Schizosaccharomyces pombe: one gene and its partners. The protein of the gene in region 3 purifies or fractionates together with the protein of the main gene of each other region. This does not show direct contact. Each region holds a gene or a part of one and is shown on either strand. Other genes may lie near its edges.

Region 1 (6,773 bases), on a different chromosome or scaffold from region 3:
GACGGTTCAGGTTTTGATTTCGTAAAAGAACTACTATTTGCATCAACATAAGCAGTCAGGGAAGCAGGTTGATCCATATCACTTAGTGTATTTCGTTGAGCAAACTTCTCTACAATTAACGACATGGCTTCAGAATCAATAAATAGTTTACCGAATTTTAGTGCATCTCGAACCTGAAACTCACCAACAGGAATAAAGGAGCAATGGTAGCCTAACTGTCTAGATGCAAGCAATAAATTATTATTTTTAAGGGACTCATCTTCAAAGTAATTATCGTTAAGGACAAAAAGTGCCTTCCCGTACTCGTGTCCTAACTTGTGTTGCTTCAAAACTTCAAGCAAAATCCGTGTTTTTGGTTGACTTAAGTTGATGGGATTTTCAAGGATGGTCAGTTCATTATTAATAAATCTTGTACTTAGCGCAATCCTCATTGCTAAATTATAAACTTGGGTTTGTAATTTTGTACTGAAATCTCTAGGCTTAGGACCATGTGATTTAGCACCACCTCTTCTTATAGGACTTGAGGCATCGCCTACCCGTGCATGTCCTGTACCTTTTTGTCGATAAAGTTTTCGACCGGAACAAGTAATTTCATTTCGGCGCTTTGAGCTAGCAGTGCCTTGACGGTCATTATCTGCTTCATAAATAACGGCACGATGCAAAATATCTCGACGAAATCTTTCTTGCAGGAAACTTCCGGGAATAAGAAAAAGACTCGCGGGCTCCAACGACGGAAATTTATATCGCACCAAGTGCAACATTTTTGCTGTCATTCTGATTAGTTTGTGAAATGGACGACTAGTACCTGAAGAATGGATGTATTTTACTTTCAATTAGTCTAACACAATGTACTAAGTATCACAATGCATTTCATTATAACATATTGTGCATTCAAAAGTATCGTAAAGCGTAAAGTATCGAGTTCATTAAATTACGTTGTTTTATGCAACAGGAACTTTATGACTGTATACTGTTAGATAAATTAATGATATCTCATTCATTACCTAAAATAGAAGAAATAATTATTTATACTATGTGATGTCGTACATTAAATATTTGGAATTTGCTCATTCTGACACCTTAAATTGTTGTTGCAAATAGCACCTGTGTATTACAATAACAGTTTTGAGTACTCAATGCTATGCAACAAGTGGTTTAAGACTTTTAAAATCGACAAACCCTGAGAAACTAAATTAATACTAAATATAGATTTTTTGAGACAAGTATTTGCCCAGCTAATGCATGGAAACCTACTTTGTTTTACGAATGGTCTTTTGTGATTTGTTATTAGTTCACAATTAAGAACACACTTCGTTATAAAGTAACGTAGAAGAGACGTTAACCGTCTATGCAAAAATAATCGGTGTTATTTAACTTGGTTAGCTTTCATGGGATTGAAATTAAATATCTCTAACGATTTGAAAAAATCTGGATTTATGTTAAGGCAATCCTTACTTAAAACAAGTGTGTCAAATTTCCTTTCTTTGAATGCAAGTAGCACCATGTCTAGAGCGTTTATTCGAAATCCAAAATTTTATAGCACTTCCTCAAATGATACAGTTTTATACGAGAGTAAAAATGGAGCAAGGATATTTACTTTAAACAGGCCAAAAGTATTGAACGCTATCAACGTTGACATGATAGATTCAATCCTACCAAAGCTAGTTTCATTAGAAGAATCAAATCTGGCCAAGGTAATTATTCTTAAAGGAAATGGTCGCTCTTTTAGTTCGGGAGGTGACATTAAAGCTGCAGCACTTTCAATACAAGATGGAAAATTACCTGAAGTTCGCCATGCATTTGCTCAAGAGTATCGATTAAGCCATACGTTAGCTACATACCAGAAACCAGTTGTGGCTTTGATGAATGGCATCACCATGGGAGGTGGATCTGGTTTGGCTATGCATGTTCCTTTCCGTATTGCGTGTGAAGATACGATGTTTGCTATGCCAGAAACCGGAATTGGCTATTTTACTGACGTGGCTGCCAGTTTCTTCTTCAGTAGACTACCAGGATACTTTGGAACTTATCTGGGATTGACATCTCAAATCGTAAAAGGATATGATTGCCTGCGTACTGGAATTGCAACTCATTTCGTTCCGAAGCATATGTTTCCTCATTTGGAGGACAGGCTTGCAGAGTTAAACACGTCTGATATTTCTAAAATCAATAATACAATCCTGGAATTTGCCGAATTTGCTAGCAGTTCACCACCCACTTTTACTCCAGACGTTATGGATGTCATTAATAAATGCTTCTGCAAAAATGATACCGTTGATATTATTCGTGCGTTAAAAGAATATGCTTCAAACACTAGTGCTTTAGCGGAATTTGCAAAATCTACCGTTAAAACATTGTATAGCAAATCTCCGACTTCAATTGCTGTTACCAATCGACTTATTAAGTCTGCTGCTAAGTGGAGTATATCTGAAGCATTTTACTATGATCATATCGTTTCCTATTATATGCTTAAACAGCCTGATTTTGTTGAAGGTGTTAATGCTCAACTTATTACAAAGACCAAAAATCCAAAATGGAGCAAATCCCATGAATATCACTTTAAAGATTTAGAAAACTATTTCAAGTTGCCTTCAGAATACAATAATGGGATATCTTTTGCTGCAAAAGGAAGACGTAAAACTCCCCTTTGGAATTATAAGACTTATCCTTATTTATAATCCCAAAGGTTACATAAATTAAATATTGTTCTTTATGTCTACTAAGTTTTTTCAGTATTATAATAAGATGATTTATTTCAAAGACCCTGTTATGTTTTAGCATGCGATAAAGCACATAACTCTTTTTAGCAGCTAAAAATAATGATAGCCATTTTAAATACTCATACTAAAACTCTTTTTCGGTAGCTGTGCGTACGATAGTTCAAAAAAAAGAATGCTAACGGCATTAATATATATTCCATAATTCCCATATTGGATCAAACAATGAGAAAATAATTGACAAAACTGCCAAACGCATACCCAAAATATATTTTTATTATTCCAATTGCTCACGGCCTTACCATAAGCTTTTCTAGCAAAAAAAATTATATGATAAACTAAAAAAGCATGCACTTATGGCATATATTTCTGTTTACTGATGTCTCAAGTATTTTCCTACGATGATACAGTGATCACGTTCGTAAGGCTCTAAAGTAAGTTGTTCTTGAGGTTTAATCTTTTCCTCTTGCATTTTCTTAACCTCACGAGCAAAAACAACAGCTGCATCAGCGGTAGAATCAATACAAGAAGCCTTAACAGAGATAACAACTCCACCTTCGTTTTTCAAAAAGGCGGCGGCGTTCAAAGCAACGATACGAGCCTGATCGGGTTGAGCAACGTCTGCAAAAACAACGTCAACCATTCCGACTAACATACGATACTTTTGAACATGGCGAGCATCCTCAACAATGGGGATGACATTCGTGCGCTTTTTAGCCATGTTAAGAAGATCACGTCCAGAACGATGAGAAAACTCAACAGCGTAGACAAGACCCTCAGGACCAACAACATCAGCAACGTGAGAAACGGATGTACCGTTAGCAGCACCAAGATATAAAACACGTGCACCAGGTTTAATATAGATGTTGTCTAAACCGCCCAAAATACCTGCGGCAAGTTTAGAACGGAAAGGATTCCATACACGGTATTCAACTTTGGTACCATCTGGGGAATCAACGCTAATACGTTTTTCATTGTATACTGATTCACCAGGCACCAGATTGCGGGTGACAAGCAAATCTTCTTTTCCGCGAGCAATGAAGACACCTGCATGACGATGAGGCTCAATAATAACTTTAGCACCTCCTTTGGCTCCACCACGGCCACCGCTAGAACCACCGCGGCCTCCTCTGGCACCTCCACGACCGCCACGACCGCCACGAGCACCACCGCGTCCTCCTCCTCTGGCACCTCCACGGCCACCGCCGAAACCACCACGGCCACCATTGAAACCACCACGGCCTCCTCTAGAGCCACCTCGTCCACCTCTTGAACCTGGTGTATATGCCATTATTTTTTTTTGTGGTAGGTAATGGGTCTGTAAAATTTTTAGGATAGCAGAGAGGATTACAGTTGGTGTGACTACGAACACAATTCTGCAACGCTAAAAATTTTTACGAGTTCGAAACAATCTGTAAAACCTCTAGTTAACGAAGGTAAACAACGCTAAAGCTAACTTAATGACATTAGTAGCATCGCAGTGTTATTATTTGCAGCTCATAACTTCTCATTAGTAAGGTAAACATATGTAGCAAAAGATGGGTTCCTGCTGTTTGAAAAGCAATTGTTTTAGGTCTCAGCAACAAATTAGAGGTATTCAATATAATTCTTTTGAAAGATTGGTGAAGAGAATGAATAGACATCTCTACTTGTGTTCATATAATAATTACGTTTTGACAATCGAAGTAACTAAACTTAGAGTTACAAGAGGTAGTGATTTATTGTCAGAACCGTTATTAGTTGTAGTTCTTCCAACCTAGTACTAGTTCTTATACCTTATCATATAAACTCGGTGTGAGCTAACAATGCACTTAAAGATTGTTAATTAATGTACGAACAGATCTAGCTTTGACGTATAAAATAAATAGAAAAAGCTATTGCAGATAGTTATAGTAATAGCCGCTTACTTTTTGCTGGCTGTCCGCATTATCATTTTAGAAAAGCAAATGCTAATAAATAACACCACAGCTTCAAATAATGCGCGTACTAACCTAATACTAGCTATTAAAAAAGGAACCATGTAAGTAGAATATACTCACAGAATGATAAAAAATTACTTAGTATATTTTTTATACCTGCATTGGAAAAAAAAATTCAAAATTTAAAAAGACAAGAAAACAAATTGAAATTTTAAAGACAAATCCTAACTTAGATCCGCTTATTAAATATTTTATAGGATACTACGACGTAAATCAACATTTTAATTTTTTAAGCCACAATAAACTTACCAAACTATAAGCGAAATTATCATTCAGCGTCAATTTCTCATTTTTGCTCACATTGAACTTACTCATAATCTAACGAACACAATATAAATATCAATCACTAATTTCGCTACTCAAAATTTCTTCGTCATCTGAAGACAGATCCTCCTCATCAGTATATGCGTCTTCAGAGTCTTCTTCATCCATTTGGTTAAAATCGCTCAAGTCACCTTCTTCTAAGAAACAGTCAATTGCCAAGGGTATGATTTGATCTTTAAAGACTTCTCCCAATTGATAGTCGAGTTCTAAAAGCTCTGTTTTGTCATCCAAACCATCATCAGATTCATCATCGTCCAACTGAGGAGGTGAGAAAAAGTTGAAAAAACTGTCATTAGGGACCGTAGTACGGACCAATCTAGTTTGATTTGTTTTACGGTTACGTTGTTTTTTTGTCTCCACTCTAACCGTTAAATTTTTTTCAGGCTTGATCCAATTAATCTTATCACCCTCAGCATGATCATACAAAAACTCACCCGAAGGACTTAAATCATCTTTATAGTAATAAGTTTTCGTTAAAATCTTGTTTGTAAAGTAATCATTTGAGTCAAATTCGAATTCTAGTTTGTAACCATGAACATCTCCCGAAAGGTTGGTAAAACGAATGTCGCTGAGTGATCGCAAGACATTTTCATCTTCTGGTGTTATCATTTCGCCAACCAAGAAAACATTATGAAGACAAGTCAGCCAAAATTCGGGAATTCCCTTAGGATCTGGAAGATTATTTTGAAATATTTCTTCCTCGTGATCTAATTCGTCGTCCACTGGTTCAGAAACACCCTTGATAATTTCGGCTCTTCTAGAGAAAATAGGTTGATATTTTTTCTCGTATTTTGTTTCCAGATCTAACATTTTTTGACGAAATTCATATTGAATTGCATCACAATCTTTTTGAAGGCCTTTCAATGCTGTAATACGATTTTGGACTGCTGGCGCAAGGCTCTCTATATATCCCGACGACTTTCCAACCAACGAGCTAAGGCGTCCCTCAATCATTGATAACATGGCCGGATTGTTGCGCAATAACCCGCTAACTTCATCATGTGCTGATTTGTCCTCCAGTTGTGATTGCAAGGTTTGTCTAGCTTTTTCTAATGCGGCCTTACTAAGATGTACATCTGAAGATGGAGTATTTTGTGGCGTTTGAGCAGCAAACCCATTCCAAGACTTCTTAAAATCTCCTGGACCTTTAGACATATTTTAATAATGCAAACGGAGATTAAATTAAATTGGTAAAGCTTCGTTGTTGGACTGTGGATCTTCGTGAAGTCTACCAAAGAGATGTTGGGCCTGACTCGTTATTGCAGCTTAGCATATTTTAATGATATGTTTACAGCATTTTTCGTATGAGAGTCTTTAATGAAATATATTTATGTGTTTAGCGGCTATCATAGTTTGGGATAGTATTTGGGGTTTTATTTGGAAGAATATGTAAAATTAGAAAGCATCCGGAAGTTTACATATACGTTGACTTTTTTCTCTCCGCTTTCCTTATACTTTCTCTGACAAAGGTAATGGATTGTATAAACCAAAGGCGCTGCTTTCAAATTCTGATGTAGCTGTCCAAATAGCTAAAAAAAAAATCAATGAAATAAACAAATGTATATATCTCGTTTAAGCAAAGTGTCTACGCTATTCATATTAGTTTAACATATGTATCGTATCCCAATTATTAGTTGAAAATTCTATAAAAAATATATATATATGGATACTGATTAATAAACAACTCTACGTATCATATACTTCTATATTCATGAGTTAAACAACCTTATTGTAGCATTTGTTTACTAGTTAG
Region 2 (8,427 bases), on a different chromosome or scaffold from region 3:
CAAACCAAAAGCCAAAGATGTGAAACTGAACGGCTCCAAATTAGAAATAGGCCAATTTTGATAGTTTAAAAAAAATATGTCGGAGGAAATAATATGCTGCATATTCACAAATTCAATTCCATTTAAACAATATCCAAATCAAAATTCCCAGTAAACATTTCAGTGCACGTTATAAGTTTCACGGGTTCCATCTCTTACCTTCGTAGCACATTCTACTGAATTAATTTTGCTAAGAAACACTTATTTGTTAGTAATACACCAGCACAAATAACCATACATTCTTTTTGGAGCTCCAGCAGTGTCATCTCAAAACGTCAATGTCCCGTATTCCTAAACGGAATAGCAAAAACTATACCTTTCAACACTTCAATGCTTACTCTTAAAACCAAGCAACGTCAAAAGAGTACGTGAAATTCGGATACGGTACAGAAATGCTGGTGGAATGTAAACGGTAGAATGATCGGATTACTGTAAATATGATCCACCTCGGTATTTATTCGGTAAGATTTGGTGTAGTAGCACAATAAATTTCAGTATATCTAGTGATTTAAATAAACTATTATTTTACAATATTATGAAGATTTCAAGTGTAGTTTTAATCATTAATATGGATTGTAAAAAAACAACAACTTATTATCACATTTCACCCTTCCATAGCTGCAAAGTGCAACTGCTTATTTACTATTTGCTGACCTACTCCTCGCATTGAATTCTGTACGAAAAAAGTAAATAATTTCAAAGTGAATAGGGTGTAAAGGAGTGAATGTCCATTATTCTTCATATATACAACCCATCGCATTGAAATTAGGCATAGTAATACGCGTATATAACGATTAGATATACATCTTCTACCATACCGCTAGTCCACCAACTAAAAAATAAGCAAATCCCATTTTGTCCTAGTTGGATTATATACAGTAGAACCATAAAGTGTCATACATTTGCATAGAAACAAATCCCGAGCACGAGAAAATTGCCGAAATTACCCTAATCCAAAATTTTTACGACTTTGCCAACTGCAACCGTAGTACCCTGATCACGCAAAGTGAAACGGCCCATATACTGATAGTCCTCAAACCTTTCCATACAAACCGGAGTTTGTGTTTCCAACTCTGCAATAATTTTCATACCCTTGGTAGCAAACATGGGGGGTTTCTTGCTTTTGCGGTTTGTTTTGTCAAGTTTATGGAGCAACTTGGCAAATGAAACTTCCTCGACAGCGGTATGAATGTGCATTACACAAGAATAACCAGTTGTCAAAATTGAAGGCAACTCAAGGATCGCAATTTGTGCAATGAAACGAGTAGTAGCATGAACTGGGTTTTTAGTGGATGTTAAAACATAACCAGTTTGGACATCCGAATCGTCACCACGGACACGGAGACGAACTTGGTCACCGCAAATAGAAGAAGAGATTTCTTCATCAGCTTCATCATATATGGCTGTAACTTCAAGGGTTTGATTAATTGGCATAACCAATACGTTTGAATTTTTCTTAATCGAACCAGCCTCAATCTTTCCTTCTAAGATGGTACCCAAATCTTTATACTTGGAGGCAATAGGCATGATGAATGGAGCATTCACTTTGCGTTCCAAATGAGTCATAGAATCCAAGTATTCTAGCAAAGATGGACCTTGATACCACGGGCAAACCGAACTGTCAACACGATCCTTAACGTTTTGACCAGTGTAAGCAGAAACGGGCATATATTTAACATCAGTCTTTGAGTTGTATCCAGCGACACGACGCAAAAACATGCTGAGCTTATCGACACATTCCTTATAACGCTCCTCCGACCACTGAACGCTAGGTTCGTCCATTTTATTAATAACGACAACTAGATGATTGATGCCTTGTGTACGAGCCAATACGGCATGTTCACGAGTTTGACCACCGCGCTCAAAACCAGCTTCAAACTCACCACGACGCGCTGAAATGACTAAAACACCAATATCAGCTTGAGAAGCACCATTAATCATGTTTGTAACGTAACCTTTATGACCCGGAGCATCCAACAAGCTAAAGCGACGGTGTTCGGTTTCAAAGTAAGCACGACCAACTTCAACGGTTTTACCTTTTTCACGTTCTTCAGAAGTGCTGTCCAAAGCCCAAGAAAGATACCAACTTTCTTTACCAGCTTCTTTAGCTTCTCTCTCTATTTTCTCCATAGTACGCTTGTCAACCATACCAGTCAAGAAAAGAATATTACCACCCAGGGTAGACTTTCCTGCATCAACATGACCTATAAAAACAATATTGACATGTTCCTTTCCATACATATCCTTCAAAAGCTCTTGATCAACCTCATTTTGTAAATCGGTGGCATCCTCAGTGACAGTGGCGGGTTCAGCTGCCTCAGCAGCTTTCTTAAGAGCCGCTGCTGGAGCAGAGGGTGTTTTTGCTAGTTCAGCATCAGCAGATTTTGTAGGAGTTTCCTGGGGAGGAGGAGCAGCGGTCTCCTTCTTTGTTGACTCAGAGGTAACCTTGGGTGCAGGGGTCTCTGTTTTGCTTTGTGCAGCAGGTGCTGCTGGTTTGGTAGTTGTAGGAGCTTTTGTTCCACCAAGGCTGATGCTAATGGGCTTTGTAGACTTAGGAGCAGAGGTGTTTCCACCCAGGGACAAAACCTTTCCTTTGGGAATTGCTGGTTTAGGAGGCACAAAACTCTTCTTTTTAGAAAAATCAGGGACACGGCTTTTATCTTCATCAACAGTGTTTCCTGTTGGCTTTTGGTAGTATTGCTGATAACTCTTCGTAGGATGTGGCGAGTTGCTGTTTTGTCCTTGGCCTGTATATTGGGCATAAGGATAACCACCAGCAATATTGTTCACAGGTACAAATCCGGGGCCTAGCAAGAAGTTAATAATTTTTTTACTTAAAACAAGCAATCATCTCAAGACATATGGATGGTGTTCTAATTAAAAAACGTACGTTGGAAAGAAGGAATGAAGGGAGCAGCTTTAGGCGTAAACGTAGGTGCCTTTGCAGACATCGACAGTTTAGAAGTCTGCTTGGCGAGTTGCTCATCCTGTTCACCGTTATTTGGCTGATTACTAGCCATTTTTTGCCTTTATTAAAATATGTGGTAAAGGGACGGTGATGTTGAAGAGAATTTACACCACAGTATACACTGTGTATTCTTTTATAATATAATATTACGAGTACTTACGATGATATTATTAGCATCCTTTATATAAGCTTGTGCTATAGTAATTCAGTTAAGTTCATAAAATATTATATTTGAGTTTAATTTTACATTTGGTTGTAAAATCGGAAGCAACTGAATTGTAAATTGGTCATTTTCTCGCTTTTTTCTTCAGTAATACGCTATTATTGTCTTAAACAGGTAAAATATATTGACTTGCCTTGGGAGATAAAAAACAGAAACTTCGGTGGGCTTAATACCAAACACAACATTTATTAGCTATTGGGTTGAACAATTAATCAAAAGTTTTTAAATCTATTGGTTAATTAGTCTCCATTGTCACCAATAATCACTGCAAGGATTTTGTCATGGAAGAAACGATGAATCAGCGTTACAGCTTCAAAATATATACCAAGCAAGTTCCAAAAGATTCAATATGTAAATCCATTATATAATTATTCACTTTAGGATTTCCTTATACAAAATTCTATAGGCGTGTTTGGATATTAAACTTCTATCCTCCACATATCACTATGACTTAGCGCAAGTTCTATTTGGTTCTCAATTTACTACGCTTCTTTTTATTTCGTTATTAATTTGTTGTTAAAAGGAATAAATACAATTTGAATGACCATTATTTATTTGTTTAGCCTTGTTTTCTCTTGTGTTTTTTAAAGCCGCCTTTTTAGAAATGGATGAATTACTTAATGTAGCTTCTCATGCTGCGACATTTGCTACGAACTTCGCGTTGAAACATAGTATATCATTTGCAGGAAAATTAGCTGTTCAGCAAGTTAGCAGCTATATTAAACGTGCCTCTGCAGATGATCAAAGTGAATTGGAGTCTGTGAAAACTCAACTGCTTGAAATGATTCGAGTTGTGACGCCTGCTATCGAACTAATTGAAATAATGTCAGTCGGTGAAAATGAAAATTTTAAGAGTACTAAGCAATTAGTGGATTCTTTGCACGCTGACATCGAACAATTCACCAAGCATGTTTTAAGCGCCGCTCATTCGGAATTTCCGCCTTCCTCAGAAAAAGAAACTTTGCAGAAGAACGTTGATACGTCTATTCTTCGTGAAATGAAAACTTTACTTCTCAAAATTAATGATGCAGTTCCTCTCTTAAATCTGTCCATCACTACTTCTGGTGCTTCTATTTCATCTTCTCTTCCAAAATCTACTTCATTTTCCCAACTTCTACGAGCTAATTCATACATATATAGGGCGAATGTTGCATTTACTGGAAATGAACCTTTACAAGTTGGCCCCACATTTTTCCTGCGAACTTATAAAATTATAGATAACCACGCCAAGTCTGGTTATATAAGCAATGATTTAGTCATGTGGAAAGAAGAGATGCCTGTTTGTATCGCCAAAATGTTTCGCATGCCTCCTCAACGGTTGAAGTCCAAGGATACGGTTCTAGCCTATGCTTTATCTTTAAAACAATCTTTTGATGATGATCGTTACCATGATGAAGATGAGACTCCTGTCACCAAAACCATTTCACTAAATGATGTGCGCACGCTTTTTTTTAGTTTGTCCGGTAAACTTCTTCGGTTAGATGATGTACAAACTCCCGTATTATTACTCAAGTATGCAGATGATGAAACAGAGTATTCTTCAAATACAGCACCTTCGAACTGGATAGCTTTAGAAGCACTTCCTTTGGTATCAATACCTAATGAATCATTAGACGAATCTGATGAACTTGCAGAATCTCTTAGTGATTCTGAAGCTGCTAGGCTACAGCTTTTAGGCATCAAAAAACAAGAATCCGTTGCAAAGAAAAAGTCTTCCTTTCCATCGACTATAAAAGATCAACCTAATTTAACTTTACTGGAGTATTTGATTAGATTATGCGCGCTCGAAAGTACTACCCAAGAATCAGTTTTACAATTACCTGACGAACAAATTGCATTGTATCTTAAAGATTATCAAGGAAGAGAGAGGCCCCGAGATCCGGCTTCATATAATGCCTTAGAAAATCGAAGTGAACTAAGCGCCAGTCCAGGTTCAGTATCCTCCTCCAGACATTCTGGAATTTTTGCGACACCAACGTTTCTGTCACCATGGAATATTAAAAACATACCTCTTGTTACCCCTGAAGTTTCAACACGTCAAACGAAAAATGTTGATGAAGAGGATTCAGCTTTATTGATGGCTAGCCCTTCTGTCCGGAAGTCCAATTTACTTCCTCAGGAGGACCTCATTTCAAAGGATTCTGTGATTAAATTAAAAGAAAACCCTTCTGTTATTCCTCATTCCGAGCCTGAATCATCGTCGAAAGTTATCAACTGCCAGGCTAAATTAAATGTGGAAAAAGAAAAGAAAAACCCGTGAAAACTTTATCAGAGTAATATTGACGCTATTCAATACACAACTATTCTAAATTTCACTTCCCATGGGAAATCCTTGAAATGGTGTTTGATCCCCAGTAAATTTGAATACATAGATTTCTCTAATGTTATATGCACCTTTTTAGACGACCAAAACATTCAAATTACTTCATCTTTTTATGATTGAATACTTTATGTGAGAGTACTTATACATATGATATGACAATAACCTTCATTTGTCGCTATTTGGAATAATAACGAAAGTTGTGAATTCAAGGGATTCCGGATATATCGTCTTTGGAATGTAAGTACTTTGCGAAATTGAAAATATCGGCCTCTTGGTTTATGGTAAAAGAATCGTTTTCTTTTTCATTCAATTGACTTGCATCAATGCGATTAGAAGCATCTGTTAGTGAAAGAGGTTTCCTATATCCTAATATATCTTCACTGATGGGTAGTGTTCTTCCTAAATCGAAGGTGTAGGCTTGACTTGCAGGATTTAAAGAAGAATTCATAATATCTTTGTCGGTTGAAAACAAAAAAAGGCTAGCCAATATTGGGTTTTTCTGAGTGAAATTTAATAACTCCTGATACTCATTGGCGAAGGGTAGAAAAGGCTGCAAATGACAAACGCATTTTAAATTACTCTTAAGTTGTTGTTTTATGGCTCTGCATTTTTTGCTGAATTTCAAGTTAATATTTTTTTTCTGATCAATGTGACATACCATAGTAACGGCCTTCCTCTAGTTCGAACTTCTATCAGTGCCCTTTCTTGATGCTGGCAGGATGAGCCTCGATGACCTCGAAGGCATACAACACTAGAGTAAGTGTTAAAAATTTTATCTTATAACCATACAAAAAGTCTTACCAAGCATAATTCTTACCGTCAATAATGATCATGATTGAAGGTATTTGTGATTAAGGGAAAAGAAGACAAGTAGGATTCGAGTAAATAAGCTAGTCGAGGAACGTTTTAAATAAATTCCTCTTATACGTTCTCTTCCTTTAGGTTGATAAATTGTAAATGACAGCTTTTTCCCAAATTCCTTTTTCCTCGTCTCTGCTTTAGCTTTCTGATCCAGAAGAATTGCACAACGGATATTAATAGAAGACAAGACGAACAGCTAAGTGTTTTAAAATAATATACTTTACTTTTAAATATTTCCAATGTTTGTTGTTTGTCAAAAGTTTGAGTGCTGGCATAAATTATTTATAAGCTCTAGCTATGGACATTTGTTTACATATTATGGGATAAACAAATACATCAACTTATTGACACTAACCAACAATAACATACAAAATAGGAAGGTATTAAATCACTATGTTCAATGTTTTTGAGCACAATTTCGTAGAAAAGATAATTTTGATTTAATGAGTGTGCAAACTGATCAAATTGTGATTTTTCCTCGAGGCGATTTCATTCTATGTTTTTATGATTGCGTCAATTCTCTAAGCAGTTTTGCGATTTTCTGCACTCTAAACTTGTTAAATAACTTTTGTTTGCAAAAGGTACCAGATGCTATAAAGACTGGATTTTGTTAATATACTACTTTATATTATAACATATATGATTTTCAGATTACAAAACAGCTTAAAAGTTTGCAACCTAAAGACATAATAACTTTTTTATTGATTGCTCATTTATTTTAATTGATTATTATTTTTCAGGGTTATATCGAGTTACTTTGTTTTAATGTCAGGTTTAAAAAAATAATTAAATGAAAGTAAATGTAAAATGAGGTAGGCTTGTCAGACCCTTCAAATTTTTTTAAAAAAAATTGAAATATTTCTTTCAGAAAGGTATGATTAAACTCACAATTTTTTTCGATTTCAAAAAATCTTTTAATCAATTTGAATATTTGCTACCTACAAATATTGTCACATAATAGAAATGTAGACGAAGTGATTTCATCAAATTAAGGAACGTTCAGTATTTTAAAAAAAGATATGTAAATTCTACAATTTGTGACGATTTGGAGATGCTACTATTTGAAATGTAAATGTATTTACATAAATGTATATTTGCTGCTAGATGCTGATATACTGGGTATAATGAACATAATTACAGCACAGTACTTAGATGCATTTAGCGCACTATGAATAAATCAGTAAATATTGAATACCTGTCAATTTTCTGGAGATAAAACTAACTAGCTAAACTAAAATCATATAATGGAGCTTCTAAAATCAAGTACGTTGCTGAAATCGAACACATCAATACGTGCGGTTCTTTACTCAAATTCACTTGACATTCTATTTCATGTTTTTCAGAATGCGAAAGATGATAATGTCTTTCTGATCAGATTGCTACAAGATGAGACTACTAAAAGTATTGAAATTTAGAAAACCTTATAAAAACAATAACTACCTTGCACACACATTTTCTTAATTTGATGAGAATAAAACTGCTAACCCCAACGGTCGTTATTTATCGTCTGGGTATCCGTAAATCTCTGTATACCTGTTCAAAGATATACAACGTCACATCTGTCAACTACATTCCATTATGTTGTTAAATCCCTTCAAATGTAAGCTACGCAGTTTGGTATCTGATTTAAGGATACGTAGAACTGCGGTGAGTTTTCCTTGTGATCTATTATATTACAATACACAGGTTGTATAAGTAGCAACTGAGTATAGGTATTGTATTAACTGAGTTATAATGTTACCTATCACTAATATAGCTTATAACTGAACTGAGGAACGAGGTTCAGCAGTAGCTCTATTTATATTATTCAGATAATATAGATCTTGATAGATTATCATTAAGATCAATCTCAATATCGTATCATACATGGTACTATATATAATTAGAACATGTGACATATAGTGATACGCAACGTAGTGTATTATAGCGTAGTGTAGTATTGCTGACATCAAACAATTCTTTAATTACAGTAAGAAAAAGCACCTCCATTATCCTTAATAAGAATAACGAGCT
Region 3 (6,556 bases):
TTGCATGCTTGGAAAGGTAATTATTCCTCGATTCTTATTTGACTCATTCCACGAATCAACTGGAGATCGTTGATATAGTCAACTCATAATTATGAGGAGACTTGATTTACTTATTTTCTACATACATATGCCCCTTATGTTCTTTCTATGTTTCATTTTCACTGAAAGCGTAAAGATAAAAATCTTGATTGAGACAATTAATTTTCTATCGCATTGTATGATGGAATTTTGTATAGTGAATAGGATTAAAGATCTTAGCACTATGTTTAAACAGGTTTTTTTCATTGTTCAATAATATTCTTTCTTCATCCATTTAATATATTTATTTTAATAATGCTATTGGTATTATTTTATTGAAATTTACATATATATTCGTTTATAACGTAGGCTACACTTTATAGTTTAAAGACAGTTATTGTAACTGTTATGTTTCCTTGTCAGCAATACTACACTACGCTATGATACACTACGTTGCGTATCACTATATGTCACATGTTCTAATTATATATCGTACTATGTATGATACGAAATTGAGATTGATCTTAATGATAATCTATTAAGATCTATATTATCTGAATACTATAAATAGAGCTACTGCTGAACCTCGTTCCTCAGTTCAGTTATGAGCTATATTAGTGATAGGTAACATTATAACCCAGTTAATACAATACCTATACTCAGTTGCTACTTATACAACCTGTGTATTGTAATATAATAGATCACAAGGAAAACTCACCGTAATTCTACGTATCCTTAAATCAGATACCAAACTACGTAGCTTACATTCCTTATACTTCAATTGCGATTCTTTCAACCCCGTTATTTGTGGAGGACGAAAAGAATTCGATACTCTAAATATTTTATTACCTTTCGACTACTCTTTTTAGTACAATTGCTAATTCCCTTTCAATCAGTTTTTATATTATCTTTCTTATTTATAGTTGCTAAATTTTTATCAATTGAGCGTCAATTCGCGAAAACCGTAAGACGCAGTTAGCAAAAAACTCCACACAAGCGTGCAACCAAAATACATATCTTTCAGTTTACTCGAAATTTATCATGTCTCGTGTGAAAACGACGGTGGTACGAAAGGCTGGTGGACAAGTATGGGAAGATCCGACTTTGCTCGAATGGGATCCAAATCATTTTCGTCTATTTGTTGGAAATTTAGGAAATGATGTTAACGACGAGAGTTTATACCAGGCTTTTAGTGAATATCCATCTCTCGTAAAAACAAAAGTCGTTAGAGATCGTGAAGGTAAAACAAGGGGTTTTGGATTTGTATCGTTTAAGGATTCTGATCAATTTTTGAAGGCCTGGCGAGAAAAAAATGGTAAATATATTGGAAGCCGTCCAGTTAAACTTAGGTATGTTTAAAAAAAAAAGAAAGGGTGCATTATTTGAAGGAAAGGGTGTCAATAGCTAACGGTGATGGAAAACGTATTTAAAGCTCAATAGGCTGCCAAATTGTTTCATAGAAAATCCTAATGTCTAGTTTAAATTTCTTTTTCCCAAAATCACCGACAATTTTGCTTTGAACTCACTCCTTCTATTACATCTATGGTTAGTTTTTTTACACTACTAACATGTATGTTTTCTAGTCGTGCTACTTCTGATGTTAAGCCAAATGAGGTAAATGAAAAAACAATCGATTCTAAAATACGGAATTCACTTTACTCTCGAACTATTCATCACGGGAACCGTGTTCAAAAGAAAATAAAAAATAAGCATGGTAAAAATTCATCAAAATCATCGCGGGCGGCACAATCGGCAGCTGCGGAGCTAATATCATCATCTAGTATAACAGGTGCGAGACCGGCAAATTCCACATCAGTCCCAAACGCCGTTAATACAGAAATCAGTGCCGCCCGTGCTACCGAGTCCGAGGCTTCTAGAAATCAAACCAAAGCATCTCGAGACTATTCAAGGGCGAGTTCGTTTCGTCGTGTGTAGTCTAGGGCATACTAAGAGATTTATAGACAGCATTATACTTGTCCTTGCTTGCAACCTGCTCCAATAATTTTAAACCAAAAAGCATTGCAGTACCGGGTCTAATGAAAGAACATGTTAGCATATAGGTTAATGAAGAAATAAAAAAAAACAGAAACGAATCAGCTTGTTGGACTTCGTTTTGTCTTATGCAACTTACCCTTGAGATGTGATAAGATTCTCTTCAAGGACGACAGGTTGGTCAAGGTACTTGTAGCCACCTTCCTCTAGTTGACCACGAACAGAAGGATGACCAGTAATCTGTTTATTTGGAAGACCTGATGTCTTGGCTGTAAGGGTACCGGCACAAATCATTCCAATCCATTTATTAGGCTTCTTGTAAAATTCTTTAACCACTTGTTGAACAAAAGGAGTTGTAGAAAGTGTTTTTGCCCCGAGTCCACCACCAGGAATGATAGCAATATCGTATTGCTTTGCAAAGTCATCTGCACTGGGGATTTCCTTGTATGAACGATTTGCATACATTTCCACGTCACGAGACATCTTCACAAGTCGGTCCTTATTCTCTCCAACGTAGACGCTGTCAATGGGAATTTCTGCTCTCTTAAAAATTCCCCAAGGTGCCGAAAACTCAATTTCATCAGTGCCGTCCGCAACAAATAGGCAAACCTTTACCATTTTCAAATTTTTTTAAGACACTAGCAGGGTTCAAAAATTTAGTACAAAACCAAGTAAAACTCGTTGTCAAAGAAATTTCTCGCTTCACAAGTGTTTGGTAGTTGGAAAGTAATAGGTTGACGTATGATTCCATATATATAGGCATGGAAAGGCATAATTCTGGAAAACGGGCGATATACAAAGCGGTTGGGACTCCGAATGAACCCATTTCCTTTCATTCAGTTCCATAGTTTAAAAACCCCATATTCTCTAATGGCCATGAAACGTTCGCTAGTTGGCAGATTTTCGAGTATAAACAAAAAAGATTGGTTGAAGAATTTCGGCAACAGTTTACTTTAATTAATTCATTTTAAATAACTATAAATTTTATTCTAGTATGGACGAATATCAATTGCATGGATTCTATATAAGATGTTTCACAGTACTGGTAGTAATGTAATATACTAAGTCTTTGAAAGGCAAATAGATCAAACCGGAGCAAATATATAATCTCGATTGAAGTGAAAAAATTAATACTAAAATAATAATAGATGAATGAAAAAAAAAATTGCCAACAGAATTCGATTCTTTGTTTGAAAAGAAATCGAGAATACTCAATTCATGTATATATACGAATCACTAAAATTGTGAGAGTACTGTAATCACTAAACAGAACGTTCAAATTCTCCATAATATAAGAAAAATAATACTTAGAATTTAGATATTCCTACATCTCTCTATCGCCCATAGCATTTATTTTATTTTTTTAAATCAAACGAAGGAGTTGTACACTAACAATTACAGCTAAATGGTCTTTAAAAAATTAATGAAAAATAAATAATAATACAATCTCTATGTTCATTTATAAACCAACAGAAAGAAAAGCCATTTAACTCGCTTGGAATAAAAAACAAATCTTCCAAAAAAATTTAAAAAAATAAATAATAATAAATAGAAAAATCCAACATTCATTGTCATTTCTAATAAAATCAATGATATTCTTTAAAAATTGACGTTCATATTTTGCATTTTTCAATTCAATATACCATTAACTTTCCTTCTGACTAATCTTCATACTGAGTTTGCCTTCCATTCTAAAGTAAATCTCACCACCTTACGCAGTTCCGTAGAAGTTGCCATTTGCCAACATCAATAATATCATATTAAAGGCTTATTTTGCTTTCGGCTTCTTTTTGTTTTCAACATGTTTGAAGTATGGCATTTGTTTGAAAATTTGGTTCAAAGAGTGCTAATAAAATTTTTAGGTTGAATATCTCATTAAGGATTGTGACGACGTAAATAAGAATACCCTCGAGCAGGAATTCCAAGATTTAAACATTGAAGATTGGAAATGGGATGCTGCAACTGGTCAATTAATTGTGAAGGGTTCTGGTAAGTGATAAAACCAATAAGAAATGAGGAAGAAAAGAGAGATTTGTGAGTTCATCCTGCTTTACATTAGTTCATAAAATTGAAAGTAAATTGTTTGACTTCCTCTTTTACTTCCTATTTTTCTCATTTTACTCTTAGCTAACGTAGATTTTCAGTCTCTCCTTCAAAAGTCCTTCGGCGCTTGGAAAATGCCACTTCGAAGCCCATTCTCATTCGTGGTGCTAGTAACAAAGAATCGGGCGTTTCCATTCTTTATGAAGCCAATGAAGATATAACCCAGATTCCCAAAGTTTACGGACTTTGCCGTTTTATTCCCACCGAGGAGAAAATTTTCCTCGATTTGATTGCTACTCAACTCCTACCAAATAGAGAGTATACAGGATTAGTCACTATCTCAGGAGACATTTCCCGTGGACTCAAATCCGCTGGCGATAGCCTTGTTACCCTTTTTAATGCAAACTCCAATGAGCAAGGAAAAATTGTTCTCGACAAAGAGGTTTCTGGATCCTTACCAAATTGGATTGGTCACTGTTTCGTTCTTAAATGTGTCGACGATTCTGATTCCGCCACTATGGGAATTATTTCCCGTAGCGCTGGTTTGGGTCAAAATACCAAGCAAATTTGTGCTTGTACAGGCAAAAGTTTATGGACAGAGCATGCCGAGTTGAAATCCGTCAACGAGGGTTCTTCATGCTGTTCCAAGAAGGATTCTAGTCCATCAGAAAAACCTTCTTGCTGCTCTCAAGAAAAGAAAAGCTGTTGTTCATCGAAAAAACCTTCGTGCTGTTCTCAAGAAAAAAAAGGTTGCTGTTCAACAGAAAAAACCTCCTGCTGCTCTCAAGAAAAGAAAAGCTGTTGCACATCAGAAAAACCCTCGTGCTGTTCTAACGGAAAATCGACTGTCTGTGCTTAAGACGATACCATACAATTACTAACTTTATCATGTACGTAAATGTTTACTACAGTAGCCATGCTGTCAAATTTGACAAACACCTTTTAAATTTTGGTTTGCAGTTTATTAAAACTCCTTAGCTGTAAAGAATTTCATGTCATTTTGTTGCTTCAATGAATTTATTTTTGTACCTGCATGCTAATTATTATCCATATACAACTGTTCGTGAAGAAGCGAGTAAGCTTTTCGAAAGAGATACATGTCTTTCAAATTAGCCCACTTCCAGCGCTTCTGGATACAAGAATAAGCCGAGTATTCTGTAACTTGTTCGTTAATCAACTTCATCAAAGACCCAACTCCAATAAGAAAGATTTTTTTTTAATCATCACCGCATGACAATCCACATACATGTTAACAGAAATAATCGCCAATTTCTTTTAGCCTGATACAGATATCTAACATCTTGAATATGCATGAAAGATAGCTGTACACCCAGAGAACCGATGGATTACAAAGCATCGAAATTAGCATCATTATCGATGAAATTGCAGGTTACTGGGTTCAAAGAAAAAAGTAGTTTTATCGCGTAAAAAGAACATAGGGCTGGAAAAATTATTCCTTACATGTTTAAAAGTAAGAGTGGGCGATATAAAAACATAAAAAACAAATGTTTGTAAGAGAACGACTGAGGAGTATCCGATTAATATAATCAACTGAATGTGATCATATCTTTCTAAGAAAAAAACAATTTCGCGATCATGGTCATCATCAGCTCAAACACTACCTAGTGTGAGCCAAATTTTTTCTTACCGATATCAAATGGAACGTAACGATACTTGAGCATGTGCTGAATTTGTCGTCGAAAGCAGAAAAAAGAAAGTACAAGATAATAGACAACAAGAATAGGCCAAAACACAGGTACATCAAATATTCGGAAAAAGGACGCGACTAAGGCGAACAAGGTGGCACGCATGCTTGAATACCAAAACTTGAATTCTGGCAATCTACGAATAAAGGGTCGAAATTCATCGTCTTTGGAAGTAGGAAGAACTCCTTCTTCAATTTCTTCATCTTTCATTGCTTGCTCAACACTAGGATCGAATTTTGGAGTCAAGAACGCAAGGAACAGATTGAGCAGGTAAATGGCTAATGTATAGCAAACAATATACCAACCGCGAACCAGTAGAATCCTAATAAAAAATAATGCAATTAATCCACTAACAGTCAGCCATCTATACGTTGTATAAGGTATGGTTCGGTCCACCCAGTGTCGATACAACTAAAAACACGTTAGATTTTCTTCTTTTCTCAAGCTAATCAAGTTATTCTTACTCGAACTGCAAAGTTTTTCTTCTCTTTAACATTTTCTATATGACGCTGAATGAATTCCATGCTTAAATACTGTCAAACAGACGATAAAATGGTGGTTGGTAGTGAAGTGAAATATGTATTCAATTCAGACATATACGCGCTACTGCCAGACTCCATTTACCCCCTACACTAGAATACAGTATACATTATAATGTGTTATCGGTGAATGATATTATTAGTTTAAAGTAATATAACGATAAAGTAATAATTTGTCTCTACAGGACTCGAGAGCGGTAAGCGTGTAAAGAAAAGATTCAGTGATAATTTGGCAGTCAGAATTACTTTTTTTTTGAA
Region 4 (9,435 bases), on a different chromosome or scaffold from region 3:
TCGTCCTGGTATTGTTACAAAGGATGATGATGGCCGCATCAGATGCCAACCTATTTTCTCCCGTATTATCTCCCTATTCGCTGAACACAACGATTTGAAAATAGCCGTGCCTGGTGGTTTGATTGGTGTTGGTACAACAGTCGATCCTACTCTTTGCCGTGCCGATCGTCTAGTTGGTCAAGTTTTGGGTTCCAAGGGCAACCTTCCAGAAGTTTATACCGAGCTCGAAATTAACTACTTTTTGCTCCGTCGTCTTTTGGGTGTAAAGAGTGGTGATAAAAACACCACTAAAGTTCAAAAACTTGCCAAAAACGAAGTGTTGATGGTCAACATCGGTTCCACTTCCACTGGTGGCCGTGTTATGATGGTTAAAGCAGATATGGCAAAGATCCTTCTTACCGCCCCAGCATGTACCGAAATTGGTGAAAAGGTGGCTCTCAGCAGACGTATTGAAAAACACTGGCGGCTTATCGGTTGGGCTAAGGTGGTTGAGGGTAAGACTCTAAAAGTTTAGATTTTATCGTTGTAAACATTGTATAAGATGAATTCTCATTTTTTAACTTTTAAAAAATAAACAATGGTAATGTCTACGGTTAAACTTAACGATGTCTCGTACACGGTGTGTGATTTTAGTACAGTTGATGAATCATGTAGTTGATACACAGTGCTAATAGATGCGTATCTACATCCCTATTTTATACATTCGGATCTCTGTGCAGTATTTAATGTTTCCATTATTAATTAGTTAGACTATTTTCAACATTTACTCTACAGCGAATTTATACCTATTTAGTACACCTGATGGTACTAGTTCCTTATAGTAAAGCAATAAGTAAATAGAAGAGTCATAAATCTATATTTACTATTATTTGATTCTAATCAATTATGCTTATTTACTTGACTCTTTCGTTTTGTGGTATTTCATTCATAGTATGTATCTGTAAAATATGCTTTCACTTCCCAGACTTTTGGAAGCCTACAAAAAAAAATATGAAAATTTAAAGAAAGTGAACGATTCAATTCTTTGAATACAAAAATTCTATCAAATAAGCGATTTTGATCTTTTCCCAATTAGCAAACTCTAAGGCAACGACATTATTCAGAGCCCTAACCTAAACAAGTGACTGTTAATTTCGAATGCAAACAACACTAGGAGACGCAAAACGAGCTACCTACATCAAACACCATGGCAGAGAAGGCTCAAAACCCCATGAAGGAGCTTCGTATCTCCAAGCTTGTCTTGAACATTTCTTTGGGAGAATCTGGTGATCGTCTCACCCGTGCTGCCAAGGTTTTGGAGCAACTTTCGGGTCAAACCCCCGTTTTTTCTAAGGCTCGTTATACCATTCGTCGTTTTGGTATCCGCCGTAATGAGAAGATTGCTTGCCATGTTACTGTTCGTGGTCCCAAGGCCGAGGAGATTTTAGAGCGTGGCCTTAAGGTCAAGGAATACGAGTTGAAAAAGCGTAACTTTTCTGCCACCGGTAACTTTGGTTTTGGTATCCAGGAGCACATTGACTTGGGCATCAAGTACGATCCTTCCATTGGTATTTATGGTATGGATTTCTACGTTGTCATGGACCGCCCTGGTATGCGTGTAGCTCGTCGTAAGGCCCAACGTGGCCGTGTTGGTTACACTCACAAAATCAATGCTGAGGACACCATCAACTGGTTCAAGCAAAAGTATGATGCCGTCGTTTTAGGAAAGTAAACTTCATTTGGTACTACTGTGCTTACATTCAATTGAAAATTAATTCCTCATCTTGTATACTTTAGTGAATTCCAATAGCGCCTTGTAATTTCCAAACTGAAAAAACTTGTATGAGCAGTTGTATAGCTAGTAGTTTACAACGCAATTGACATTGACACTGATAATAGAAAATTGATAACCTGGAAGATTAGAACATATGCGTTTCTTCTGAGATCGTAATGCACTTCAAGCATGAAACGTTAGTTCGCTGGTTCAGTGAAACTACGTACTAAAATTTAGTAGTTTAGTTGTCAAAAAAAGGGTAATTTAAAAATCGATCTATAAAAAGTTCGTTTATGCTACAGTCATACGAATTAATCAATATACACAACCTTCCAGCTAAGTGCCAGAATATTACCTTAAACAAAATACCTATTCATTTATAATTAAGGCAAACGCCAATATTTTTTCCTGCAATCGTTTAATAAACCTTAAATAGTTCAAATGGAACAAATTACTCAGCGACCTAACAAAATAAAACTTTAAAACATTTCTCCAAGCCGCTTCTTTTAAACGCATCTAAGCACACATCACCCACGGATGAAATGAACCTGAAGCAGAATCCAACAAACTGGAATCGTAAATTTACTCGTGTTCAAGAACAGCACACAAATCACCACCATTCACAGAATCACCCTGAACAACGGCCAAAGACTTGAGCACACCACTGTGAGGAGCACTAATAACAATTTCCATCTTCATAGCACTTAAAACAGCAATAATATCTCCCTTCTTAACCTTCGCACCTTCCTTAACACGAATTTCGACAATTGTTCCACTCATGGGGGCTGCAACGTGTCCAGGATTACCAGGATCAGCACGAGGTCTGGTAACAGTTTCTATAGCTGCTTTCTTATCTTCAACAGTAACATGGCGGTTCTCACCGTTCAACTCGAAATAAACTTCACGTTGTCCAGTACGAGGGTTCAATGGTCCAAGAGCGACAAATTTAACGATTAAAGTCTTACCTTGATCAATTTCAACGTGCATTTCTTCGTTCATTTCAGGTCTAGATAAGAAGAATTTAGTAGGAACAGTGGTCAAATCACCATAGCGATCGACAAATTGACGATATTCCTCAAAGACACCAGGAAATTGGGTGTAGGCAGCGATATCACAATCTGAAGAAACACCAAACTTCTCTGACAATAATTTGCGGATAGCATCGAAATCAGCAGCAGGAAGGAATTTACCTGGACGATCAGTCAAAGGTTGACGACGACCTTTAAGTACATTAGTACGCAAAGGCTCTGGAAAACCGCCATATGGTTGACCCATTAAGCCTTGGAAGAAATCGAGTACTGAAGCAGGGAAGTCCAAAGTGGTCGCACGATTCTCAACATCCTCAGCACTAAGTTTATTTTGAACCATAAATTGGGCTAAATCACCAACCACCTTTGAAGTGGGAGTGACCTTAATAATATCTCCAAGCAATTTATTGGCTTCAATGTACGCTTTCTTAGTTTCAGCCCATTGAGTGCCCAATCCAAGGGAGGTAGCTTGGAATTTAAGGTTGGTTAATTGACCACCGGGAATTTCGTGGTTATACACATCTGAGTCAGTACCCTTGATTTCAGATTCAAACGGAGAGTAAAGCAAACGCATTTGAGCCCAATAACTATCAATTTCGCGTAATTGATTGTTATCAAACTCCAATTGCTTATCAGTACCATCGACAGAGGCCAAAACGGCGCCAAAGCTAGGTTGGGATGTAAGACCAGACATGCTATCAGTTGCAACATCAACAACGTCAGCTCCTGCCTCCAAAGCCGCAGCCATGGAAGCAACAGCAGTACCGGCAGAATCGTGGGTGTGAACATGAATAGGTAACTCTGGATGTTTCTCCCGAATGGCAGAAATAAGAAGACGAGCAGCTTTAGGTTTCATAACGCCAGCCATATCCTTGATACCTAAAATGTGAATACCCATTTCAACCATTTTATCAACAAGGTTAACATAGTAATCAAGGTTATACTTCTTCTTGGGATTTAACATATCGCCAGAGTAACACATAGTGGCCTCAACAACACCGCCGGCGCGCTTGGCAGCATCAATTCCAAGAGAAAGGTTATTAACATCGTTCAAGGCATCGAAAACACGGAAGATATCGATACCGTTCTTTTTGGCTTGTTCACAGAAAAAGTAAATAACGTTATCCGGCAAACTTGAATAGCATAAACCATTGGCACCACGTAAAAGCATTTGGAAAGGAATGTTAGGAACCAACTTACGGAGTCTACGCAAACGATCCCATGGACATTCATGAAGGAATCGCATAGAGACGTCAAAGGTGGCACCTCCCCACATCTCCAAAGAATAAGCGGAAGCAAGGGCATGGCTCGTATATGGAGCAATATTTACCAGATCAATGGTACGAACACGGGTAGCCAATAAGGATTGATGGGCATCGCGCCAAGTGGTGTCCATGATAAGACCACGCTTGTGATTTCTCACAGCCTTGGCAAAGGCAGCAGGACCGTTGTCTAACAATAATTTACGCCAACCTTTTTCAGATGGATGAGAAACATCAATTTGATTTCCTGTACTGTCTAACAAAACGGGCATGACAATCTCCGACTTAAGAGCTGGCTCACCATTTTGGCCCTTAATAGAGCTGCCGTTGACAGCAAGATCACCGAGGTAGGCCAGAAGTTTTTGAGCGCGATTACGGGAACGATAAAGTTGAAACAATTCAGGAGTGTCATCAATAAAAGTTGTCCAACAGTTTCCTTGGATAAAAGTATCGTGCATCAATAAACGCAAAACAAAAGGAATGTTGGTTTTGACACCACGGACACGGAACTCGATTAATGAACGAATCATCTTACGACGGGTATATTCATATGTAGCATCATGGCATGTACACTTGACGAGCATAGAGTCATAATGAGGAGTAATGACAGAACCCGCGAAACCGTTAGCACCATCCAAACGGACACCATTTCCACCAGCGGAACGATAAACTTCAATCTTACCAATGTCGGGAGCAAAGCCATTGTTAGGATCCTCAGTGGTAACACGGCATTGAATAGCAAAGCCGCGAGTGCTAATTTTATCTTGGGTCAAACCAATTTCTGGAAGGGTAAAACCAGCAGCAACGTGCAACTGAGCCGATACAATATCGACACCGGTAATTTCCTCAGTAATCGTATGTTCAACCTGAATACGAGGATTAATCTCAATAAAATAGTGACGTCCTTTTTGATCGAGCAAGAATTCTGCAGTACCGGCGTTGCAATACTTCACTTCCTTGGCAATCTTGATGGCATCGTCATAAAGTGCTTGACGGATCTTAGGATCCAAATCTTTGGCCGGAGCAATCTCCACGACCTTTTGATGACGACGTTGTACGGAACAATCACGCTCATGTAAATGAATGACATTTCCAGCCTTATCAGCCATAAGTTGAATCTCAATATGCTTGGGTTTATCCAAAAAGCGTTCAATGAACACAGTGCCATCACCAAATGAAGCAAGGGCCTCAGAACGAGCACGCTCAAATGACTCCTTCAAGGTATCGGCAGAACGAACGACACGCATACCACGGCCACCACCACCCATGGCAGCCTTGATGATAACGGGGAGGCCATATTCCTTAACAAAAGCCTCAGCTTCTTCATAGTGTTCGACGGGACCTGGAGTACCAGGAACGACTGGGACACCACAGCGAATGGCGATTGCACGAGCTTTCGTTTTGTCACCAAGAGAGTCAATGACTTCGGGGGAGGGGCCTACAAATTGCATGCCAGCTTCGTTTACCTTTCTGGCAAATTCGGCGTTTTCGGAAAGGAAACCGTATCCTGGATGAACCAAGTTGGCACCGGTGCGTTTGGCGATGCTGACGATTTCGTCAATAGCCAGATAAGCTCCTACTGGACTGTACTGACCGACCTTGCCAATTGGATAGGATTCGTCGGCCTTTTGACGATGCATCGACAGTCTGTCTTCATACGAGTAAATGGCGACAGTGTGCATCGAAAGTTCATGAGCAGTTCGGAAGACACGAATAGCAATTTCAGATCGATTAGCTACCAACACCTTGGTAAACTTCTCTCCTAACAAGGAGGAACGATCCTGCAACTTGCTGAAAGGGTTTGTGTTGGTACTTTGATTGTGCAACAACGCATCATATTTAGAAGTCATCTTTAATTTTATATCGCCCCAATACTGAGACTAGCAAATTGCACCCTCTTTGCTAAATACGAACGTTTTTTTGCAGAGTAGCTAACGCTAGATGTAGTTGCTGGTTAAAGGAGAGATGACTCGATATGCAAAATTACGCAAGACTATTGCTTCGAAGATAGAGGGTTTGATGAAAACGGCAGCCTCTGCGTTCACACCAATCACACAATATAACGAGGCATAACGGAACCCTAGCTGGTCTCCTTAGCTGATAGCCGAAATATAGGCCAATCGTAGTTAGTAAAGATAAGCGTAATCGCAATTCAACTGTCGGTAAAAAAAATCAAAAATTTGATTGGAAGAAAATGACCTAACCGAATACAGATCATCATGATTAGAATATGTACTTGTATGATTAGTTGAGAGCTTCGCTTGTCTCGGTAAGTCCGCTTATTCGGTCGAGCTTGAACCGGCTTAACGGACATGCAAGGAGCACTAACAAGCGACAGTAAACAGTAGATTTGAAAGAAGAAAGTGAGATGGAAAATAAGTAAAGAAAATAAGGGTTGTACCGGCTTTACATAGAAGCCAAGAGAGATGGAAAACAGAGGAATTGTGAACGTTCTCCTTATTCATATTTCCATAAAGCTTCTCCAATGACCTTTATTGAGAAGATTTGATCGCCTTGATCTCGCGGTGCTTTTTTGTTGACGACAAAAATATCAACAACTTAAATTTTGAAGCTTTTGATCATCTCTCCGCTGTGTTCTCTTGACGATAAGAAAAGCTTTATGCGAGAAATGCCTTTTGGATAGCGCACCAGTCGCTACAAGTGTAAATGATTTTTTTACCTGGCACAGCTTTTTGAACGGGGAATTCAGATATATCAACAAGTTGCACATCCTCGAATCTGGACAAGATATCATAGTACTTTTGATTTGAACGCATCAAAATGCTTATGGGGGATATCTGGAGGCAACCGAAATCAGTAGGGGAATCACCGATATAGACAACATTAAGTGGAGACGAAACTGCGTCTGTTTGCACTATTCGCCGAAACTCTCGTACTTTGTCCGTAGAATTCATTAGAAGTGAACTTGCATTTCTCGCAAGTATCCTACCGTTTGTTGTGTTTGTAGACGTATCGAAGTCAAAGTCGTTGGCATGGACACACAACAAGTCTGCGGTTAAGTCCGTATGGTGAAGCAGGGTTTGTTCGATTACTCTTGCAGACCAATTGACGGAAAGAACGTGGAAAATGGTTTTGCTTACACGGAGATCGGGCACCAAAGCATTGATGAACTCTACAAATCCTGCGCGCAGGGTGATCAGTTGTACGATGTTGTCAAGGGCACCCTCCGATAATCCGGAAAAATATTGAGATTTTTCAATTCTTTTTATACTAGCTTCTTCGAGATATCGACTTCCTCCTAGTAGAGGTAAATAAGATGTTAGCGTGGTAGAATGCGGTAATGCTTCACGCCAAGCCAAATACTCTTGCCAGTATTTATCAGATATTACGCTCCATTCTTCGGGCTTATTAACAGCTTCAGCTAGGAGGTGGATTGTATCGTAGGTGGTAATTGTCTCGTCAAAATCCACTATGTACAGCATTTGCCAATTTTTATATGAGAAAACGATAGGTGTTTGAAAATAGATGTTCACGTAGAAAAAACCAAAAGAAGCTATATTAATGAATGGAAATGATTAGGAATGCTAATCTCTTTCACCAATTTTGAAGGAATAGAGATGTTTTCTAAAGGCGAAGCTTTTAAGTCTGAAGGCTAGAAGAAGTAGTATGGTTAGGCAGAAGACTTGAGCATGCATGTGTGTGGACGAAATCCAAAAATTAAACCGGCGAATGATTTGAGCACTGAAAGGAAAAAAGAAGTCTTGTATTGAATTAATTCATAGAGTATGATAAAAATTGATAGTAAATTCATTGGTATACTAAAGTGATGTAGAAAATTAAGAAATCACATAGACTACTTGAGTTACGATGATTTATTAGCATGCATCCGGACCGTAAAGCAAAAGAAATTAAATATTTATGAAAAAAAAAATAAATGATTCATAACAAGCAGATGAAAATGATGACGAATTAGGACTCTTCAAAATAAATGAAGATTATACATTACAAACTTTGGTCTGACTTTTTAAAGCACACGATTTGCTACCTTTTTTTGACTGACTTTTTAAGAACCTTTCCGACGTTTAGCCTGAGCTGAATGTCTGACAAAGAGTCCCACGATACAACAGGTTTGGAGGTAGGGTGAGGATTATAAGGCAAATAGCAAACGGCACTCAAAAAGGTTATGAGCGATCTCTGTAAGATACGACAGAACCCCTTTCTGGGGTTCAGTGGTGCAAACGGTGGTCGCGAAATTTGTGGATTTCGAAGTGTGACATCTAAGAGAAGTGAATGCAAGTGATGATATTCATGTGGTAAGAGTGGGACAGCAATACGAGGCAAAAGTTCGTCGTATGCCCTCTTGCAACTAAGGTTAATATGGTAAGGGCGATCTTTGTTTTTCTCTATTAAACCGTCAAATATGACGCTGGGCAAATGGCGGATTTTTGCATTTTCCATATTTATCTCAAAAACGGCCGATAATAGGGATGAAATGTAAGGAAGACGAACTGGTGAATTAGATGGTAAACTTTTGGGTATCTTTGAAGGTCGAATTTTATTATCTTGTAAATAATGAAGACGCCTATGACGAAGAGGACCTGTTTGTGAATAAGCGTATCGTAAAGTCTGCCATATAGCTTGATGGTCGCCATCATTGGCGCGCTCAATACGACATGCAAAAGTTTTTAGGAGATTGCGAAACCGTTTTATGCGCCGCTTGTGAGGATTAGGATTTGACTTGCGAGCTTTTCGGGCGTAAGCTTGAAAATGTGAGATTAGGATTTGGGATGCCATTGGATCCCAGAATCTTCGAGTTGCCTTTAATAGTCTTCGATAAAGAGGGACTAGAGTCGAGCACTGCCTGTCCTTTGGTTGAGGTAAGTGTAAACGAGAGTCATAAGTTACCAGGCTACCTAAAATGTTCGAAAGTGGATGAACAAGATCATTTGGAGCTTGGAATGGTCTCCTTTTGGTAACTGTAGAAATAAATCTCATGAGTAAGGAATTTTGTATGAATGAAACATGAAAGTTAAGTGAAACAATGCAAAAAAAAAAAAAAAAAAAAAAGAAAAACCAAATATAAAAATTAAAACCAAGGGCCAAGATGAAGGGACAAAGAAATGAAGTATTTGATAAAATCTTAGAGATTGTTGCTAAATAAGCAAACAGTGTCTTTGCTGTAACTGGTGAGATATGTTTAAAATTAAATCAGTGTAACGTTATTACGCAGAAAGGCAGTTCACGACGCACAATAAAAAGCAATATCAAAAGTGAAGTTTTGTACATGAGTTTTCGAATAGTTATTTTTTTCAAAAAGATAATTTCATTTGTAAAAGAATGAGTTTTTGTACTAGTTTTTTTTTTTTAGACTTGCGAAAATTCAAGCAAATGCTGTAGTGATGCAGAGGAGTATATTTGAATAAGAGAATGG

Evidence for each region.
Region 1: the proteins of sdj1 (region 3) and fib1 purify together in Schizosaccharomyces pombe (affinity purification with mass spectrometry, with the first as the bait; one large-scale study listed by BioGRID). This does not show direct contact.
Region 2: the proteins of sdj1 (region 3) and sup35 purify together in Schizosaccharomyces pombe (affinity purification with mass spectrometry, with the first as the bait; one large-scale study listed by BioGRID). This does not show direct contact.
Region 4: the proteins of sdj1 (region 3) and pyr1 purify together in Schizosaccharomyces pombe (affinity purification with mass spectrometry, with the first as the bait; one large-scale study listed by BioGRID). This does not show direct contact.

Annotation. Positions count from the first base shown.
Region 1 is NC_003423.3:2,979,674-2,986,446, forward strand, and holds fib1 (fibrillarin, rRNA and histone methyltransferase), read right to left. Parts: upstream 4,038-6,773; 5' UTR 4,009-4,037; coding exon 3,091-4,008; 3' UTR 2,731-3,090; downstream 1-2,730. Other genes in the region: yml6 (mitochondrial 54S ribosomal protein uL4m), read right to left, coding at 1-773; snr1 (mitochondrial 37S ribosomal protein mS47 ), read left to right, coding at 1,389-2,678; nucleosome assembly protein Nap2, read right to left, coding at 5,036-6,175. UniProt on the Schizosaccharomyces pombe protein: S-adenosyl-L-methionine-dependent methyltransferase that has the ability to methylate both RNAs and proteins. Involved in pre-rRNA processing by catalyzing the site-specific 2'-hydroxyl methylation of ribose moieties in pre-ribosomal RNA.
Region 2 is NC_003421.2:1,530,085-1,538,511, reverse strand, and holds sup35 (eRF3-like class 2 translation release factor sup35), read right to left. Parts: upstream 3,114-8,427; 5' UTR 3,060-3,113; coding exon 2,930-3,059; exon of another isoform or gene 2,896-2,929; intron 2,847-2,895; coding exon 988-2,846; 3' UTR 501-987; downstream 1-500. Other genes in the region: SNARE-binding protein Sec1, read right to left, coding at 199-239, 278-305; SPOM_SPCC584.03C (GTPase regulator), read left to right, coding at 3,835-5,490; Cu metalloregulatory transcription factor Cuf2, read right to left, coding at 5,759-6,167, 6,212-6,304, 6,355-6,386. UniProt on the Schizosaccharomyces pombe protein: GTPase component of the eRF1-eRF3-GTP ternary complex, a ternary complex that mediates translation termination in response to the termination codons.
Region 3 is NC_003424.3:5,021,125-5,027,680, forward strand, and holds sdj1 (glyoxylase III Sdj1), read right to left. Parts: upstream 2,728-6,556; 5' UTR 2,629-2,727; coding exon 2,150-2,628; exon of another isoform or gene 2,052-2,149; coding exon 1,955-2,051; 3' UTR 1,954-1,954; downstream 1-1,953. Other genes in the region: SPOM_SPAC22E12.02 (splicing factor, WW domain -binding Rbm42), read left to right, coding at 1,060-1,367, 1,602-1,953; superoxide dismutase Cu chaperone Ccs1, read left to right, coding at 3,812-3,820, 3,873-3,999, 4,155-4,912; Rer1 family protein, read right to left, coding at 5,676-6,170, 6,224-6,283. UniProt on the Schizosaccharomyces pombe protein: Catalyzes the conversion of methylglyoxal (MG) to D-lactate in a single glutathione (GSH)-independent step. May play a role in detoxifying endogenously produced glyoxals. Involved in protection against reactive oxygen species (ROS).
Region 4 is NC_003423.3:2,188,539-2,197,973, forward strand, and holds pyr1 (pyruvate carboxylase Pyr1), read right to left. Parts: upstream 6,000-9,435; 5' UTR 5,894-5,999; coding exon 2,336-5,893; 3' UTR 2,107-2,335; downstream 1-2,106. Other genes in the region: translation initiation factor eIF2 gamma subunit tif213, read left to right, coding at 1-514; rpl1102 (60S ribosomal protein uL5), read left to right, coding at 1,187-1,711; SPOM_SPBC17G9.12C (hydrolase), read right to left, coding at 6,662-7,486; protein cup1, read right to left, coding at 8,046-8,999. UniProt on the Schizosaccharomyces pombe protein: Pyruvate carboxylase catalyzes a 2-step reaction, involving the ATP-dependent carboxylation of the covalently attached biotin in the first step and the transfer of the carboxyl group to pyruvate in the second.